2 linked regions of the Lepisosteus oculatus genome follow. The protein of the gene in region 2 interacts with the protein of the main gene of each other region in a pairwise test. Links are inferred from orthologs where the notes say so. Each region holds a gene or a part of one and is shown on either strand. Other genes may lie near its edges.

Region 1 (8,010 bases), on a different chromosome or scaffold from region 2:
TTCAACTCCAGTGCTTCTTAAAATTTCAAGCAATTTTTTTACCATTGAATATCTTGAAATTAAACATTTTCATTGAAAACTGTAAATAATTGCTTCTGAATACTATTGTTTTCTACTAAAAGATAAACTAGTGAATTGACATACAATTAGCCATAACATCAATTAGCTTTAAAAAATTGTCTATTTGCTTGAATAAATCTTATTTTTACTTTAAAAAAAGTTTTCATGTAAAAAAGTCTGCTATAATTGAGTATTTAGAGGAAATCACAAGTTTAAAAGCAAAAGTTACAAAAATTGTGAACATCACCACAACTTCTTCTGTGCACTATAGTCCTTTATGTCATATGATGTTAAAATACATCAACATTTGTTTTGCATTATTTTTTAGAATAATATTACGTTGTAATTTTGGCCCATAACCTTTAATTCAAGTCTTCAAAGGGGATGTCGGTAAAAATTAGAATGGTTGCCACTCTCGAATTGATTTTGAGAAGTATGTTGCAGTACAATTGGCTATGCTTGTTAAAGTAATATTCTCTAGCAGCAAAACCAATATCTCACTGAGAAAACACATTTAAAGCCATGACATCTGCTGAATATATAGATCATGTAAAGTATAACATGACCTTGCCTACCTTACCATGAGATACTGTAGCAATCGGTTTGCTAACAAATTTCGGAATACTGTACAGCAGCACTAGTGTGATGGAATATACTGTATACTTGATGTAAGCAGATTAAACTTCATTGTTTTCCAAGGCCATGGCAGATTTGGGGTACTCTGGTCGCTCTTTGCATCTTTGATTTTCGCCTAACCAGGGGAAGTGTATTCTTTAATATAGCATTATGCTTGGTTTAGTACTGGCTTGAACAAGCAGACATCCCTCCTGGAGAATTTGGGTATAGTAACAGATGTTAAGGTTCTTTGCAGTGTTATACACACTGTTTGCCAGGAATGGAATGCCTTGCCACAGAACTGGTTTCCTGATTCCACCATACAAAGTCTAACCACATTTGTGTCTTGCTTAAGACAAAGAGCAGCCCCTCAAAGTTTTAAGCCTCCACATATGATTAAATGCAATGTATGATTCCAGAATGAAGAGTTGTTCTTTATATATGTGACTATTTATTTGCTTACTGTATGTCAAATGAGTATTTGCCATACATGTCCTGTTCCTCCAAACCAGGTTCATTCTCAGTGTTGAACTTTTTATTTTACTAACAAACTCTGTAGGATAGGTTTTAAAGATAAAAAGGTTTTATCTTTACCAGATTGCCAGGCATGGCCTCTTAAAATCTGAATATTTTCAGGCTGAAATCTGCAGTAATTTCACTTCATTTTGTTGGGGCCATTATTCCCATAATCAAGGCATTGTGTGCTGCACCTGTCTTTGAAAGAATATGGGTTTTCATTCATTGCTTTTTATGAAAATTAATGTAAATACAGCCAACAATTAAACACTTGCCTAGTTTTCTGTGCTATGTTAGTTTAATAAGCTCACTTTGACAACATAACTTTTTTTTGTTATTGCAAGGATAATATTCCTTCCAAGAATTTGAATATTTTCAATCAGGCTACCCAGATACTGTACTGCATGTTTTTGGAACAAAAAAATTGTATGTCTTTTTCAGGAGGGTAAAAGTCTCATTGTTTTACGTTTCTTAAACTTGTCAAGTGAACTGCACTCTTGCCAAGTCTATGAACTTCATCTTAAAGCAAGAAAGTTCATGTTTTAAGGTCATGTATTGAGAGAGAAGCTTTTACTTTTACTAATGCAAAGAAGAAATGACCCTGGCACATCATCCTAGATAGACAAAGGGTAAAGAAATGAATCAGAATCACTTTCACCTACTTAATTTCTTACAACCTTTATAAAAAACATGTGTTAGAATGTCAAAACCATTTGCTTATTCCTTTTCAGGTACCACTTGATCCAGTTTCATGTATTAGTATCATTAACACAAATATAATGACACTAATAATAATGATGAGCCAATTTCATATTTTAAAAATACATTACAAGCATAATCTTAGAGTGATACAGTGGTAAAAAAAAGAAAATTAATTGCATAAGGATGACATGGGAGTATTTGATAATACTGCAAACTATGTTCAGTCTGGATAAAGATTGATATCTGCTTTGGCTTTCATTGCCATAAAGGAAAGAATTCAATAACAAAATAAGCTCCTGGCTAGCATGTGCAAAATAGCAGAATAAAATGCATAATACTCTTCCAATAAAAACACAAATAAAATTTGAGGTGTTCTATTTTTGTCTACTGGTAATTTTATTTCTTCAGTGAAACCAACACAAACTTTGCTAGATTTAGACAATAAGACCATGTAAGCAAGGAATTTGTCTTAATATCTGTTAGAAAGTGATACTGCAAAGAACTGCAATATGCCATTAATTTATTTTCTTAACTAATTAAGTGTGTTGTATTTGTTTTACACACCTGTGGCAATAGACTATTCTGAAATTTGTTTACTTTGACAAAAGAAGACATATTCATAAATCGCTTACATCCTGGATAATAAAAAAGCATACTCTACAGAATGGGGCAAATGTAACAATTTTAATGGTATTATACTGTAATATGCATTTAGATATTATAGCAAGATGTTTGTTGTGTAGACTGTATGTAGACTGATTCAGATAATGCTGTACTTCTGTAACATATACTGTACTTAGCCAATTATATTAATGCATAAAGACAATGTAATTAGAACTGTAGGTATTGTAGGTATAAATATTACCCCAGGAACATATTCTGCTTTGATAACTGAATTTATTTATTAACTTAATTTCTTTTGGGGATGTATATCACTTTATATTAATTCTTCTACATGTTAAAATACCTGTTTCTATTACAAATGCATGTTTTAAATAGTGTATTACACTTCCCAGACCTTCTTTTCTGATTTTAATAGCTATTGTAAAAGGAGAGGGTAAGTAACAATGCAGTTAAATAGCAAACAGATGTCTTCAAACATTAAAAACGTAGAAAGTACATCTAATAAGAATTCCAGAGCTATGATGAAGTTAAGAAAACCAGCTTTAATGTGTTATTGAATCTAACTTTATTTTGCATCATTATTGCTTAATATCCTTTCAGACCCTGCTTTATCAGTCAAACTGCTCATTTGTTAGCAGCTCTTATAAAGTTATTTAATAATGCTTACATGGCATTTGAGTACTTTCATTATACCCACTTTGATACCTCTGATTAAACCAAATTCAGACACATACATTAACCTCTATAATCCTCATTTCGCCAGTGTATTAATCTGATGATGAGACCTCTGACAGACTACAGTTTCTGCGAGCAGGTGCACGCTTGTTTCTTGCCACCTGTGATACTGTAGTTTTGAATGACAGAATGAATTATGAAGGACCATGCTTCACCCCGCAACTATCTGCTATTGTCTTTACCAAATGCACAAGTAATGTCAGGAAGTCCTTCATTAAACTATTAATTTAAATTCAATACCCGTTTTCAGTAGGGCTTAGAGTGAAATGCATGTGTCTCGATTTCCGCAGCAAATTCCCTGGAAATTATAAAATGTAACATTGACACTACATCAAAATTAGATTTTTCTCTTTCCGGGGCATTAATTCAGCACAACTCTGTTATGAAATGTAATGTAATGGAAGATTTATGCAGAATAACTTTAAGAGCAAAACGTAAGTAGTCTAATGTAAAACATTATAGTAGCATGATGAAGTCTGATGAAGTGCATATGGTCTCTCATACCAGTAATCACTCTCATTTCATTCTTAAACTTTATCATATGGAGCTGTCTTGGAAATTAGCTCTGCCTTAAAAAAGCATTATACTGTAGATTTCCTAATACGGACACTATCGCCACTGAACTGAAGGGACATCAAAACATATCGGTAACTCATAGAGTTAGTGCATAGAAATAAGATTTGGACTTTGAAGAAATCTAGCTGACGCTATGTCAGAGATGTCATAAGGATTTCACTTCAAACAATATGTCAGACTGCGTAAATCTCGGTTTCAAATACTCCCACGGCATCCATGTAAACCTAGAAACAGTAGCATTGAATATTTCCCGAAGTCTGGCTGCTCCCGTGAATTGGATTCGGCTGTTTCCGTAAGCCGACAGCACAGGGCTCTTATAACTCGGCTCTTAAGGCACGGCAAGTTTACAGACTTGGAGAACCGTAATGAAGCAGTCTGTTAAATTCATAGGCTTCTTCGCTTCATCCCCAGCAGCTTCAGTACATTTCATCAGAGAGAAATAACACCCTGCGCCACAGCTACTTACAGGTATTTTATTACATTCTGTTCTTGGCTTCCAAAAACGCAACGTTAATTGAAGGAACTTGGCCAAAGGTTTATCGAAACAACGTACAATTCTAAGCTAATACTACCTGCTGTGCAGTGTATGCTAGCTCTCCACAAGAGGGGTCAATGCTCTTCATCTGTCTTCTAGTGTTTCTTTTCTGTTTTAATTAATCCAATTAAAAAACACTTCTTTAAAAACAACGTGGAAGTAATCAAAGCTTGCATGCACGAGTCGTTTCTCAAACAATTAGTATTAGGAGAAATGTGTTTGTGATTCAGCATGAATAGTTTTAATGTCTTTTTCCATCTACAGCATTTGCTAGTGATTTTTTAATCCTTAAAATAAAAGTGGGGACCCCAGCTTTACACTGCAATCTTTCATTTGTGTAATCATTTTATATAATTAGAATAATTTGTATTCTTATGTAGTTTTACAGTGGTCATAACAAGTATGGTAAAAATAGAATCCTATAAAGGATGATAGTAATTAAGCAAACTCAATACAATGTTTTAGATATAAAAAGAAGTTGACAAAACTAGTATAAGGTGAAACACTCCAGTCAATGGATTCTTCTGCTTTAAGTCAGTAATGATGGTATTTTATTTTTATATTTTTTAGTTTTTCTACATTAAAAGAAGCTTAAATTGGCTTGGAAGGACTGCAGTGAACAAGCCAAGTTGTACATGTTGTGATACTTTAACATTCAGGCCGTGCTGAAAGAAGTTATGACTTCTAGACTACAACAAGCTTGTACTATCAAAACCCATCTTTCAGAGCAGTTTGCTACACTGCATTGCAAAGTTTTCTCCACTTTTTCCTTCCCTAAACATAACTTGTGCAAAATTCCCAAAGTATTCTTAAGCAATATATATCATACTATTGTAAATACAAAACAATTAACAATAAACAATAGTTCTATACAAACATCTTGAATACTTACAAATTATGCAATATTATGGTTATCACAACCTTACACTGGTTAACAATAACAAATACAATATAACATTAATCACTGTGGTATACCATGATTCAGATGAATCATGTACTGTTTATAACAGGCACAATAGTGTGAAAATTACCATGGTATGTTTTTGCAAGGACCCTTGAATGTTTTAAAGTTAAGTTAGTTGACAAGATTAGTCAAGATTTAGAGGCTGTGCAAGGAAATGATACCATGATTGCTCAGGTCAAACATGACTTGGAAGAAGGATTTGAAAGAATCCTTAGCAAATGGAGTTTCTGTCCATCATTGCTCAGGAAACATAAAATAAAGGCAAGAGAAGCTAGCAAGGTTCTCCTTGTAATTCATCTAGACAACAGTGTTTTTACATTCCAATAATTCTGCTTTGCTGAATATTAAGCTGTTCTTAAAAGGCTATTTTTATGAACAAGGCAGTCAAATGTGTGTTAAGGAATGTGTTTTAACATAGAACAGTTATTTGCGTGTGTTGGGGGAGATTTTTTTGTCATTCATTATATTGAAATTAAACACCATGCATAAATGCAAACTGTATGGACAAACTTTCTTTTTGTTAAAAACAACTTAGTGTGGAAGGTTTGTTTTCCTTATATAAAAAATTCATTTTGAGAATCATCTGGAGTCTTCACATCTTTTCTACAAGCAAAATCAATTTTGAACTTATTAATTGAACAAAGTGGATGCAGTTATTGTAGTAAATAGATCAACACTGTGAAGTCGCCACAAGGAGCATTGAAATTTGTAGGAACTAACAAGTATGTTTTTATAGGAAGGTCCTCAGCTGATTTTAATTTAATTTCTCCTACCAATTTCCAGATCAATCTCCAAGATTTATAAGAAAACAGCTGTATTTCATGGTGTGACCAATCTCACTTTACAGATCTGCCCAAGCAGGAATGTACCTGCTCACAAAAGAGAATTCTGTGCCCACTGGCAATGCTTTTTTTTTTAAAGTCTAGCCTATGTGACTCAAGATGTCATTAATTTACTTGAATTACAGTATGTATTTGGATGATAACCTCCAATCCAAACAAAAAATACCTAAAAGAAATACAGACCTTTTTTGCTATGTGTTGTTGCAGGCCAAAGTAGTGGTTGTTTCTTCCTGGGTGTTTCCGTGGGTCTACACATTCTGCAATGTGCATGATGTATAAAAAAGTATTACAAATACCTATCCTTCTTATAATAGAGGGAGGTGTCTTTTGTGGCCTAGCAGGCTGCACTGAGGTGACCAACTTTTGAGAATTACCTACTGTATGACAGAGATGTTTTGGAGCATCCAATTAATATACAGTGACCTAATATATTTGAAACTGAATTTCAATATGGTGTGCTTTGTTTTTGCTTTGTTGTTTGCTTATTTCTGCTTTATTTTTGACCAAATTACATATTATATTTTGTAAAAACCTCTATTTGTGTGCAGAGTTTTAGCATATAAAACAGCCTTTTTCACTGATTTACTTTGTTTGTAAAGTGTCACAGCCACAAACTTTGGAATAATTATATCCACATTTCTATATCAATACCCATAATCATTATCTAAATACTGTAAGGTAGATCTGATTTAGTGATAATTATGGTTCGTGAAACCATTCCTACATATTTTGCATATTTAAGTAATTTAATCCACTAGATTCCCAAGATTTCTGCAGCCTGTAGTTACATAATTGAACCCTAATTTCAACTCATTTTAAATGTTCAGTTTTCAAGTTATTCCTTTAGCAGTTTTACAAATAGAGGTTAATGTAGGGTGACTAAACTGGGATGACTTTTGCTTATACTGGGGTGGCTTAAGCTCCCTCACACTTTTTGGAAGATCTGTCACTGGGTGACGGGTATTGAGGACTAGAATAGAATTGAGACGTACTATACTGGGATGTCTTGCTTTAATGAAGAAGTACAGTATTAAAAACCTTATAAGATCTATCAATGCTAACTGCTTGTAAAGAAACTATGTTCAATGGTGCAAGGTTTCCACACTTCATTGCATTAGTCTCTTACTTTTCACAATTTCTATTACACTCCCAGAAAAATAAATATACCTAGATCTCACTAATTCTAACCACTTTAAAGCAGAAGTAACAGTTCAGCTGACAATCTCATAGTTCACATTTTGACTTCAGAATCTTTTATTTTCTTTTTCCAAGCTGAGGATTGTCTCTGTAAGAATGTGCAAACTAATTGCAAGCTCTCAGGTCATTAGAAAGAATGTCAACAGTGTCTTTCTCAGTAGCCCTGTGAAATTTCATAAGCTTTCATCAATTTGGAATAACTCCTTCTTACTCAGCCCTTTACCTGTCCGCCTTGGCTTACAGAAATTGTTCATATGCTTGGTGACATCATGATAACAATGGTCTGCACGTATTTCAGGATCTATGGGAGACTCATTCCCTGAGAATTCTTATTTGTAAAGTACAGTATGTATCTCAGACTCCACTCTGCCATTAACACCAGAGTGCCATGGGATGCTGCTTCACTGTCTCACACAAACGTCACCGTGCTGATGGTTAACCAATGAACCACAAAAAGAGCTCTGAATCAGCATGTCATGTGAATACAGTACATGTGTGTGTTTGAGTGTAGTTTGTAATGGTCTTGCGGATGTAACCCCTTTTTGGTGGTACTGGTGGTCCCCTTCTAGAGAAGCCTGTGCAGTCCACAGTTCAGTTAATCCCACAGAGTTTAGACATAGCACAGTCACTTTAATTCTTCTTCC
Region 2 (8,484 bases):
CAGACTTTAAATTCTATAAAAAATATATTTTTACTCAGATGAAGTAATGGGCTTGGCTAAGATTACATCACCTTAAGAAGATATGAAGGTAACGATGCAGTAACACCTTTGAGTACATGTTGCTTTTTTTAACCTGCCTTTCTTGTGGCTACGGACTGTAGTACAGCTAGCAGAACCTACTTGGCCACAAGACCAGTCTGGGTACAGACAGAGTGTACTGAGTCACCATCAACAGGTAAATAATGCAGTTTCAGAGATGTGGTTGACTTCAAATTATTCTTGGTCACGGTATACTTAGCTGCTTACATTCTGGCTGTCTTTGGAGACTAAGGTGCTGTTATTAGAAACCAATAGTTAGCACCCTCACTGATCTGTCTGCATAGATGGCCTCATTTTTGACCTTTCAGAAAACTACTATGTTCAGTGAGTTTGAGGAATGCCGGGACTGTATAATGTAGCTTTGAACTCCATAACCTCCAGGTGCTGCTATCAATATCTAGGTGTCTAAAATATCATGCAGAGGAACAGTGCTCCTGGAAAGGCTCTGGACATACTAAGTGGCAGTAAGCATTTCTGTCTGCTTGTGAATTTTTTTTGTTTCTCTAGGGATCAACTAAAATGTTTTGCTTAGTAGTATCTGTGCTTGTGACTGGAAGGTTGCCAGTTCAAATCCCGCAGCCGGCAGAGGAATCCTACTCTGTTGGGCCCCTGAGCAAGGCCCTTAACCCCAACTGCTCCAGGGGCGCCGTACAATGGCAGACTCTGTGCTCTGACCCCAAGCTTCTCTTCCTGTCTGTGTCCTGTGTCTCATGGAGAAAAGCTGGGGTATGCGAAAAGATTAAGTCCTAATGCAATATATTGTACAGGGCTAATAAAGAAACATTATTATTATTATTATTATTATTATTATTATTATTATTATTATACACTGCCCAGTAGCGTGACATGTCTTTAACCAGAGCTTATTTTCTTCCTGGGCTGCGGCAGTCATTTACAGAAAAATCTGATATGAAAAAATACTGCTTCTGATAAAGACGAAGTGCCCTGCAAAAGCATATTCTCCCTTACAGTTATGTCTCATTTTGTTGAATTACAAATGATGCATACACATTTTTTAAAGTGAGTATTTTCAATCAAAACTTGAGTGCTTAAACTAGATACTTTTATCGGTCCAAAATGTTAAATGACAGAAAACCTGCAAAGAAGAATCAAAACCTAGCGTAGACGTATTTGGTGGAACCACCCTTAGCACTGTTTCCATCTCTTAGTAGGGAGGAACCACTTTGCAAGGCACTGTACAGTATGTGATGATCTTCATTATTTCTACTTAAAAGATTTTTAAGAAGGTGAAATCCCCAGTCGCTCTACAGTTCATTAAAATATATTCTCAACTGAAATTGTAACTTCATATAACTCCATTTTAAGGTTTTATTTTTAGGAAATTCAGTTGATGAAGTATGCCAAACATGGGTACTGACTATTTCTTCTCTTTAACTTTTCCGTACAAAACAACCTTACTGTCAACAGTGAAGTTATTGCCTCTCCTACTACAGCATATTATTGATGGCTTATTAAACCCCCCAAAACAATTCAGTATCACATTTATGCATCTCTAAAGGCACAAATAATAAAACATTTTTACATTATGTACCTTACAAATTATACCTTCTTGAACTTTAGTTTCATTCTAACTGTGCATATATATATTCCTTCATACAGTACACACCACAAAACGTTGACTGACTTCTGTAATGTATATAATGTAGCCAGTTTACTCAAAGATCAGGCCTTACAAACCATTCACATTCTAGCCTGGGTACTATCCATTCTTTTAAGTATAAAATGAGACACACCAGTTAAACCAATGGTAGAAGAGCTTGCTTTTATAAGACCATTTGGTGATGGATTAGAAAACCACTAGCACAGCACACAGTACAGTTAAAAGACAAGTGTTACATGACAGAAAATTGAATTGCCACTCACTACAAAAGGGAATTAACAAGTGTGAAGAAGATCCTGCATTTTACATTTAACATAAATGTTACTTTTTTCCAGACACAAGAAAATGCTTGATAGGGCACAAATTATTTAAAATCTTTAACTCAATATTTTGTGAGTTTTAAGAATTACAATGATGATACCTTAAATAAGATTTATAAAGAAATTGATTTCTACTTGTTTGCTCTAAAGCTTCTTTGTCATCTACAAAAGAGTTGTCTTGTGCCTTCTGTTGCACACTAGCAGAACTGGATGATTTCTTCTCAGAAACCACCAGCCTGTAAACCTTACCATATAACTGAAGTACAGCACAGTACAATTACAACTCATGTTTACTGAGTTTTACTCCACAGGACTGAGGTAACCCCTAAAATCAAAATCCAACAAAACACATCAAGGAAGTGGATATTGTATGTCTATTTCACAATTTCAAATGTGGTCCTTCACGTGACCTTATAAAGTAAAAAGCCAATGTGTTATACAAATCAGAAAACAAAAACAAACATACTAAAAAATGTTATGAGGTTTTGCCAAACGCCAGGTAAAAATGTTATTAACTCTATTCTTATTGTCTTAGCCAACAGTAAGTACTTGAGATAAAGAGAAAGCAAAGACTAGTTTGGTTTAAAATAAAAGTATTTGAGGTTAAAATATATCTGATATACATCTTGCATAATTCTAACATCAGTAACTAAAGCTTCTGGTGACACCTCAAAGAAACGCTAAAGATACCAAAACACACAATGAACATAAGTTAATTCCTCTGAACAGCTAGGTATAAATTCCATGTTCAGTAAGACAAATTTGTGCTAAATCTTTAGCTAATGGTTTAAATTATCTTATCTTCTGACTGTGTTTTCAGAGCAATGTTTTTAGGCAAACACAACTGACATACAAGTACAGAAACGAACTTTAAAATAAAGCATACTTCTTGGGTTTCACGGCACTGCGAATGTGACTTAACTTGCAAAGCTACGCCATGTTCCCTAATCAATAAATCGCCGTACAGGTCTCGTCTGGCGTCTGGCGTCGGGCACTTTTAACATGCTCTGTGTCCGAGTGCTTACCTCCAGTTTGTGGTTTAACTGGAAGATGGTCTGAGCCTTGTGGCACAGCTGAGCGAAGCAGGAACTCAGAGTGGTCATTTTCTGACGGCCCTCATAGGTGATGTCAGCCTGATCGGGGTCGATCTCTCCGAGGAGCAGATCCACATCCACAAAAGCCTTGTCAAATTCCTTCTCCAGGACCTCCAACCATCGGAACATTGACATTCCCGAACCGGGACCACTGAGAGCCGAGCCCTGAGGGGCTGGTGAGACACCGCCGGCCGTCGCAGACATCACAGATACTGCAAGCGACGAATTACTACTTGTCAATTCTAGGCAGCACCTTTTCGATAATAAATTAATCACTTTTCTAGTTTATTTTTGTATCTATTTATTACAAATAAAATATTACTATCCTACACCACGCTCTGTCGTCTTAGCCAACCCTGTTTTCTACCGTACCGTCCGGCTTCTGCGGACCAGGAAATCCGAAGTGCGGATTGGTTGCGAGTCTGTGATTGACTATCATTGCCTGCCACACAGCTGGACCTGCGTCAAGAAAAAGCAAGAGAGTAAAGAGATAATCGATTTAGAGCGTCAAAACAGGATACGCAGACCTGAGGGAGTTCTACTTACAGATCTAACAACCGTGATTTACCCAGCCTCAAAACATATTGCCTCCATTTAATTTTACCTGGAGCTGTGCTGTGTTTGAAAAAAGCATTCTGAAAATCACGTTTTGGGAATCTGTCTAAACTCATTTCTTCACGTGTGATCAGCTGTTTTATCATGGAATTATACCCAAAATGTTTACTTCATGCCATATAAACAAAACCATTACACAATAAAATAATTATTTCTCCGATGGCTAATATTCTTCTTAAAAACGAAAAAGAAAATGATACTAATTAAATAATCTCACTCCCGATCTTACAGAAGTGGTCAAAACGTATATCTGCAAAAGTGTGATTAAAAGTTATGCGAGAATGCCTTGACATATCGGTGATTTTTTATTTTTTATATTTGATTCATTTATTATTTTTTATTAATTGAATTAATTTGATTATTTTTTATATCAACTGACTACTATTCAATAGCTTTTAGTAGGTAAGCAATTATAAGCACATTTTATGGCCATCTGCTGGCTGTTTGAAGAACCGGTAACTCAAGCAAGCTCATTAAGACCTGCATACCGACGGGAAAATATGCAGTGCAATACTAAATTATCAAAAAGCCGCTTACAGAAATCCTTTAAAAAGATCAGGGCAACCCGGAGACTATCCCGGACGTAGAGTGCATGGCAGCGCTACATCCTCTACGAAGTGTCCATCCGTCAGAGCACACACACGGGGACAATTTCCTGACACCAGGAGACCTAGTAAGCTTGTTCCTGAAGGCGTGAGGAAACTGGAGCACCTGGAAAGAGGCATACAGAAAGGCACCGCAGCCCGGAATCAAACTCAGGACACGCAAGTCGTGAGCCTGACCGCCACGCCGTGTGCCATGTGTAATGTATAATGAGAACTAATCTCACTAAGATAAAGATTAATCCATTGTTTTAAATAAAAGTGTCACCCTATAAACCGAGTGATCCTGAAATACGAATCCCACCCCTCACATCGTTTACCAAGTATTTCTTCAGCATAAAAAAGGTGTCGTGCTGAATAGGTTTGTTATTTTGTGAAATTTTAAAACCACTGCATGCATCTAACCCTCTGGCCACGTAAAATATTTATAAAGCACCCCAGGAGTAAAAAAAATGCTGGTTAAATTGTATTGCACTCACATATTCCACATACACAAAAACATTTTAAAGTAGAAGACAAAAAAACATTGACAAAGAATAAATAAAACATAGGGTACAGATTCACGGAGAAAACGTGTTGTGCTATTCACATTTTTAAAACTGTGTACAGTAGGTACAGTCCAAAAGAGTTTTAAATATATATATACTTTCAGGAAAACTGACTTTAAAGAAATGAAAGGGAATTTGAGAGATCCAGAGTGCAACAGGGTAAATAATGAAAGATTGGAGAATGGATGACAACTATTAAAAAATATCCATCTAAAAAAACTGAACAGGTTAATGCCAGAAGTAAGTGAATCAAAGTTACACCCCAAATTGCGTTAGTAATCAAATTAAGAAAAATATTTTTGGGGAAAAATACTTTTGTTAACAGTTTAAAAAATGAACAGGATCCAGTTTAAGGACACTAATATGATGAACTGCAAGGCCAAGAGAGAAGTAGAAATGATTATTACAATGGAGACTAAAATAAATACAAATACAACGTTTTGTTCTAAGTATTGCTGAAAGTTGCCAGGCACAATGTTCAAGCTGTTTCTGTTCTTGTGAAAAAGGCATATTTTTACCTTAAACATTATAAATGAGAAAACATACTGAACTTCACCATTATAGCACTCACGAAAACAATTGAACTATTTGTTCTCACATAAGATATTTTTATATTCATTATCTCCAAGCTATCACAGGGAGCAAAATGTTTTATATCTCAACACAGCAGGACACCCTCTCAGATGAATTATAAATATCCCACACTCCTGCAGATACAGAAGCTAAGAGTAGGATCTGTGTTTTAGTGTCTCTTGCTTTTAAAGGATGGAATCTTTTAATCTCTTGGCTTGATCGCATATTATTTGGGAGGGTCACATATCTCTGTGGTGTTATTGCTCCACAAATGAAGCAATCCTCCGGGTTCTGTGACCCCTATTCAGCAACCTCAGTTCACATGGGTTGTTCTTTCAAAAGTATTTCCTCTGGGTGACCCTCTTTGTGATAAAGCCTGAGTAACAGGCACACTGGGAGCCAAGGACACCTGTGGCAACAAGTGTTATCAAATGACAACACAGACACAATTAAAAGACTGACAGCTAATTAATCTCTGGCATTTTTTTCCTTAAGGAGCCAAGGAGGATTTAGCAGATCTTATAAAATTTTAAAAGTGAAAAATCCACTGACACTTTCAATGGAGTGCTTTATTATTTAAATTGAAAAAAGCACCCAGGAAGGAATTGGATAAAGCAAAGGAAATTGCACGCACTCACCAGCAAGGGCAATAAATTGTTTATCAGCAAGTTTCTCACGTCTACAAACAGAGGTCCAATCTATTACTGTTTAGGTCAGTTCCTTGTTAGTGTCAAGTGGTGTTTTTTAACCAAGATAAAAATCTGTAGTATTGTTCCAAATAGGCTTGAGAAAACACTCTCTTACCAGCATTAGGTTTTAGGATGTCCTGCTATATAAGTCACACAAGAGATCGAAGGTTACAGAGAGTGCTGTCTCTGGACCAAAGTGACTTCCCTAGTTGTATTTTCAGCATGCAGTTTATTTTAATTTCCATCTGCATCTTGTTGCATCTCTGCTACTGCCTAAATGACAATGGATGTCCAAAGAATTGCATTTGTGAAAACGAAAAGTCGATACAGTGCTACAGGGTACATGCTGTACCGTCTGGGACTGCAAAAGATACAAGGAAACTGAATCTAGGATACAACCACATTAAGGATTTAAAGGTAAGAGCAAAGCTAAACAAGCCGACCAGAGATATAAACTTCCTTCAGAGATTTGCACTATGGGGAGTTTACACTTGTACCAGTATTTATAGGAGGTTTCTGAGAAGACTTAAGACTTCTCTTAGCAACAGAGAAAAAGGTTTAAGTGGTTTGTGCCTTGGAATTTAAACAAATACAGTATTTCGAACTGTTCGCTGCTTTTGTGTAGATTATATAAGCATTTATATTCTATGTACAAAAGTGGGTTATAAAGGATGTATGTATAAATAGTTAAATATGGAGTCCATTTAAAAGTTAAACATATCTGTGAATCATATTCTGTTCCTGCAAAGGAACAGATAACGAGTTTATTCCATGCTGAAAAGAAATATAAACTCGTTACCTGTTCCTTTGCAGCCTACGCATGCTGACGCAGCTACCTACTTGAATATATTCTGTTCCTGTCTGTTTTCTTGTCTGTGTATCCTTGAGAAAACAGAATCTCTTTGGATGGTAAAATTTTCATGATATTTATGTAGATTTAGAAACGTTTCTAAAATCAAAGTTTAAATACAACCTACCACATAAAAAGAAGTTTGTGTGTGTGATTAAGGTACTAGGATATACAGCAGCTATAGATTAAATATGTATGATTATTTTCACACACATAATCTACATATTTGTGAATATTAAATTATGATATTGATATTTTAGGAAAAACACATATTCCTGATGAATTATCGTTAAACCATCATCATCCTCCAGATTTTAAATTATTTCTATATTTTATGTGAATCTGTATAATTAATTTCAATCTAAAACATATTTGTGAAGGCTTTCTATTAACTGATAAATTAAAGGTTTGTGACATCTGAACAATAATAAACTCAAATCAATTTATGTCCTGTAGTTATTCTGTAGGCTGTATGTTCAATTAGTTATTTTCTTAAATTAATATCCATTAATCATGCATGTAGCTCACAGTAGCAGTTCATCATTATGTCCAAAAAGATAGGAAGTCATGAGGCATGCTTTGAATCATTTATTACATACTGTATCAGAATAATGGCATTTTCTTTCTTTTATCTTTTAAAATGCAATATAAAAATATCAATTTTTTTCTCAATTAAGTTTTATGAAAGAATGATACTTTGAAGACAATTATTCAGTGGTTTCAATGATCTGAAAATTAATATAAAAGTCCAATCCCTAATTGTCCATAAAACCACAAAATCAATTTTAATTGCTCATGAACTTAAGTGTCCTATACTAAAACTATACAAGGAGTGAGGATCTTACTACTTTAGAATGATGGCACTACAATTCACCACCACTCAGTAAAGAAATGTAAATTAAAATTCCCCGTTAATTAAGGTATGTGTGTAATGAATGATATATTTTCCACTGACACACCTGCAACTGAAAACAATCAACAAGAAAAAAAATTGTCTAGCATGATCAGTGGTTTGAAATACACACCACAAACTCTTAATAAACCATTTTGAAGTGTCCTAAAAGGAGACATTTTGTATTATAAAGCCCTGAACTTAAGTAGTCTGCCATTTCTAGGCTTGGAGATGTGTCTATCACAAGTCATGACCATTCATATCAAATGTCAGATGTTTGGTATCTTTGGTACGTGTGCCTTCATCAAGATTTAAATCCAATATTTTATGTCAGTATATTCATTTATTCATAGAGCTGTTCTGAATTTTTGTCTTAGGCAACTGACTTCATGTAGGTATTAAGCCGAAATCACTGAGATATACAATGTTTTTATATACTTTTTCAGAGATGTGATTTTACTGGACTGACACAACTTGAAGAAATTGTTCTGTCATCTTGTGGAATAGAATCGATAGAAGTGAACACTTTCAAGTCTCAAAGCCACCTAAAAACACTGGAGCTCCTGAAGAACAAGTTAAAG

What was found.
Region 1: the proteins of gopc (region 2) and myocd interact in binary tests that used the Homo sapiens proteins (3 or more experiments, as listed by UniProt). The two-hybrid records come from large-scale screens. The link is inferred for Lepisosteus oculatus from reciprocal best matches to the Homo sapiens genes GOPC and MYOCD.

The regions. Positions count from the first base shown.
Region 1 is NC_090704.1:37,589,408-37,597,417, reverse strand, and holds the start of myocd (myocardin), read left to right. Parts: upstream 1-4,189; 5' UTR 4,190-4,296; intron 4,297-8,010. UniProt on the Homo sapiens protein: Smooth muscle cells (SM) and cardiac muscle cells-specific transcriptional factor which uses the canonical single or multiple CArG boxes DNA sequence. Acts as a cofactor of serum response factor (SRF) with the potential to modulate SRF-target genes.
Region 2 is NC_090697.1:32,949,276-32,957,759, forward strand, and holds the start of gopc (Golgi-associated PDZ and coiled-coil motif-containing protein), read right to left. Parts: upstream 3,583-8,484; 5' UTR 3,339-3,582; coding exon 3,066-3,338; intron 1-3,065. Other genes in the region: nephrocan-like, read left to right, coding at 6,384-6,578, 8,350-8,484.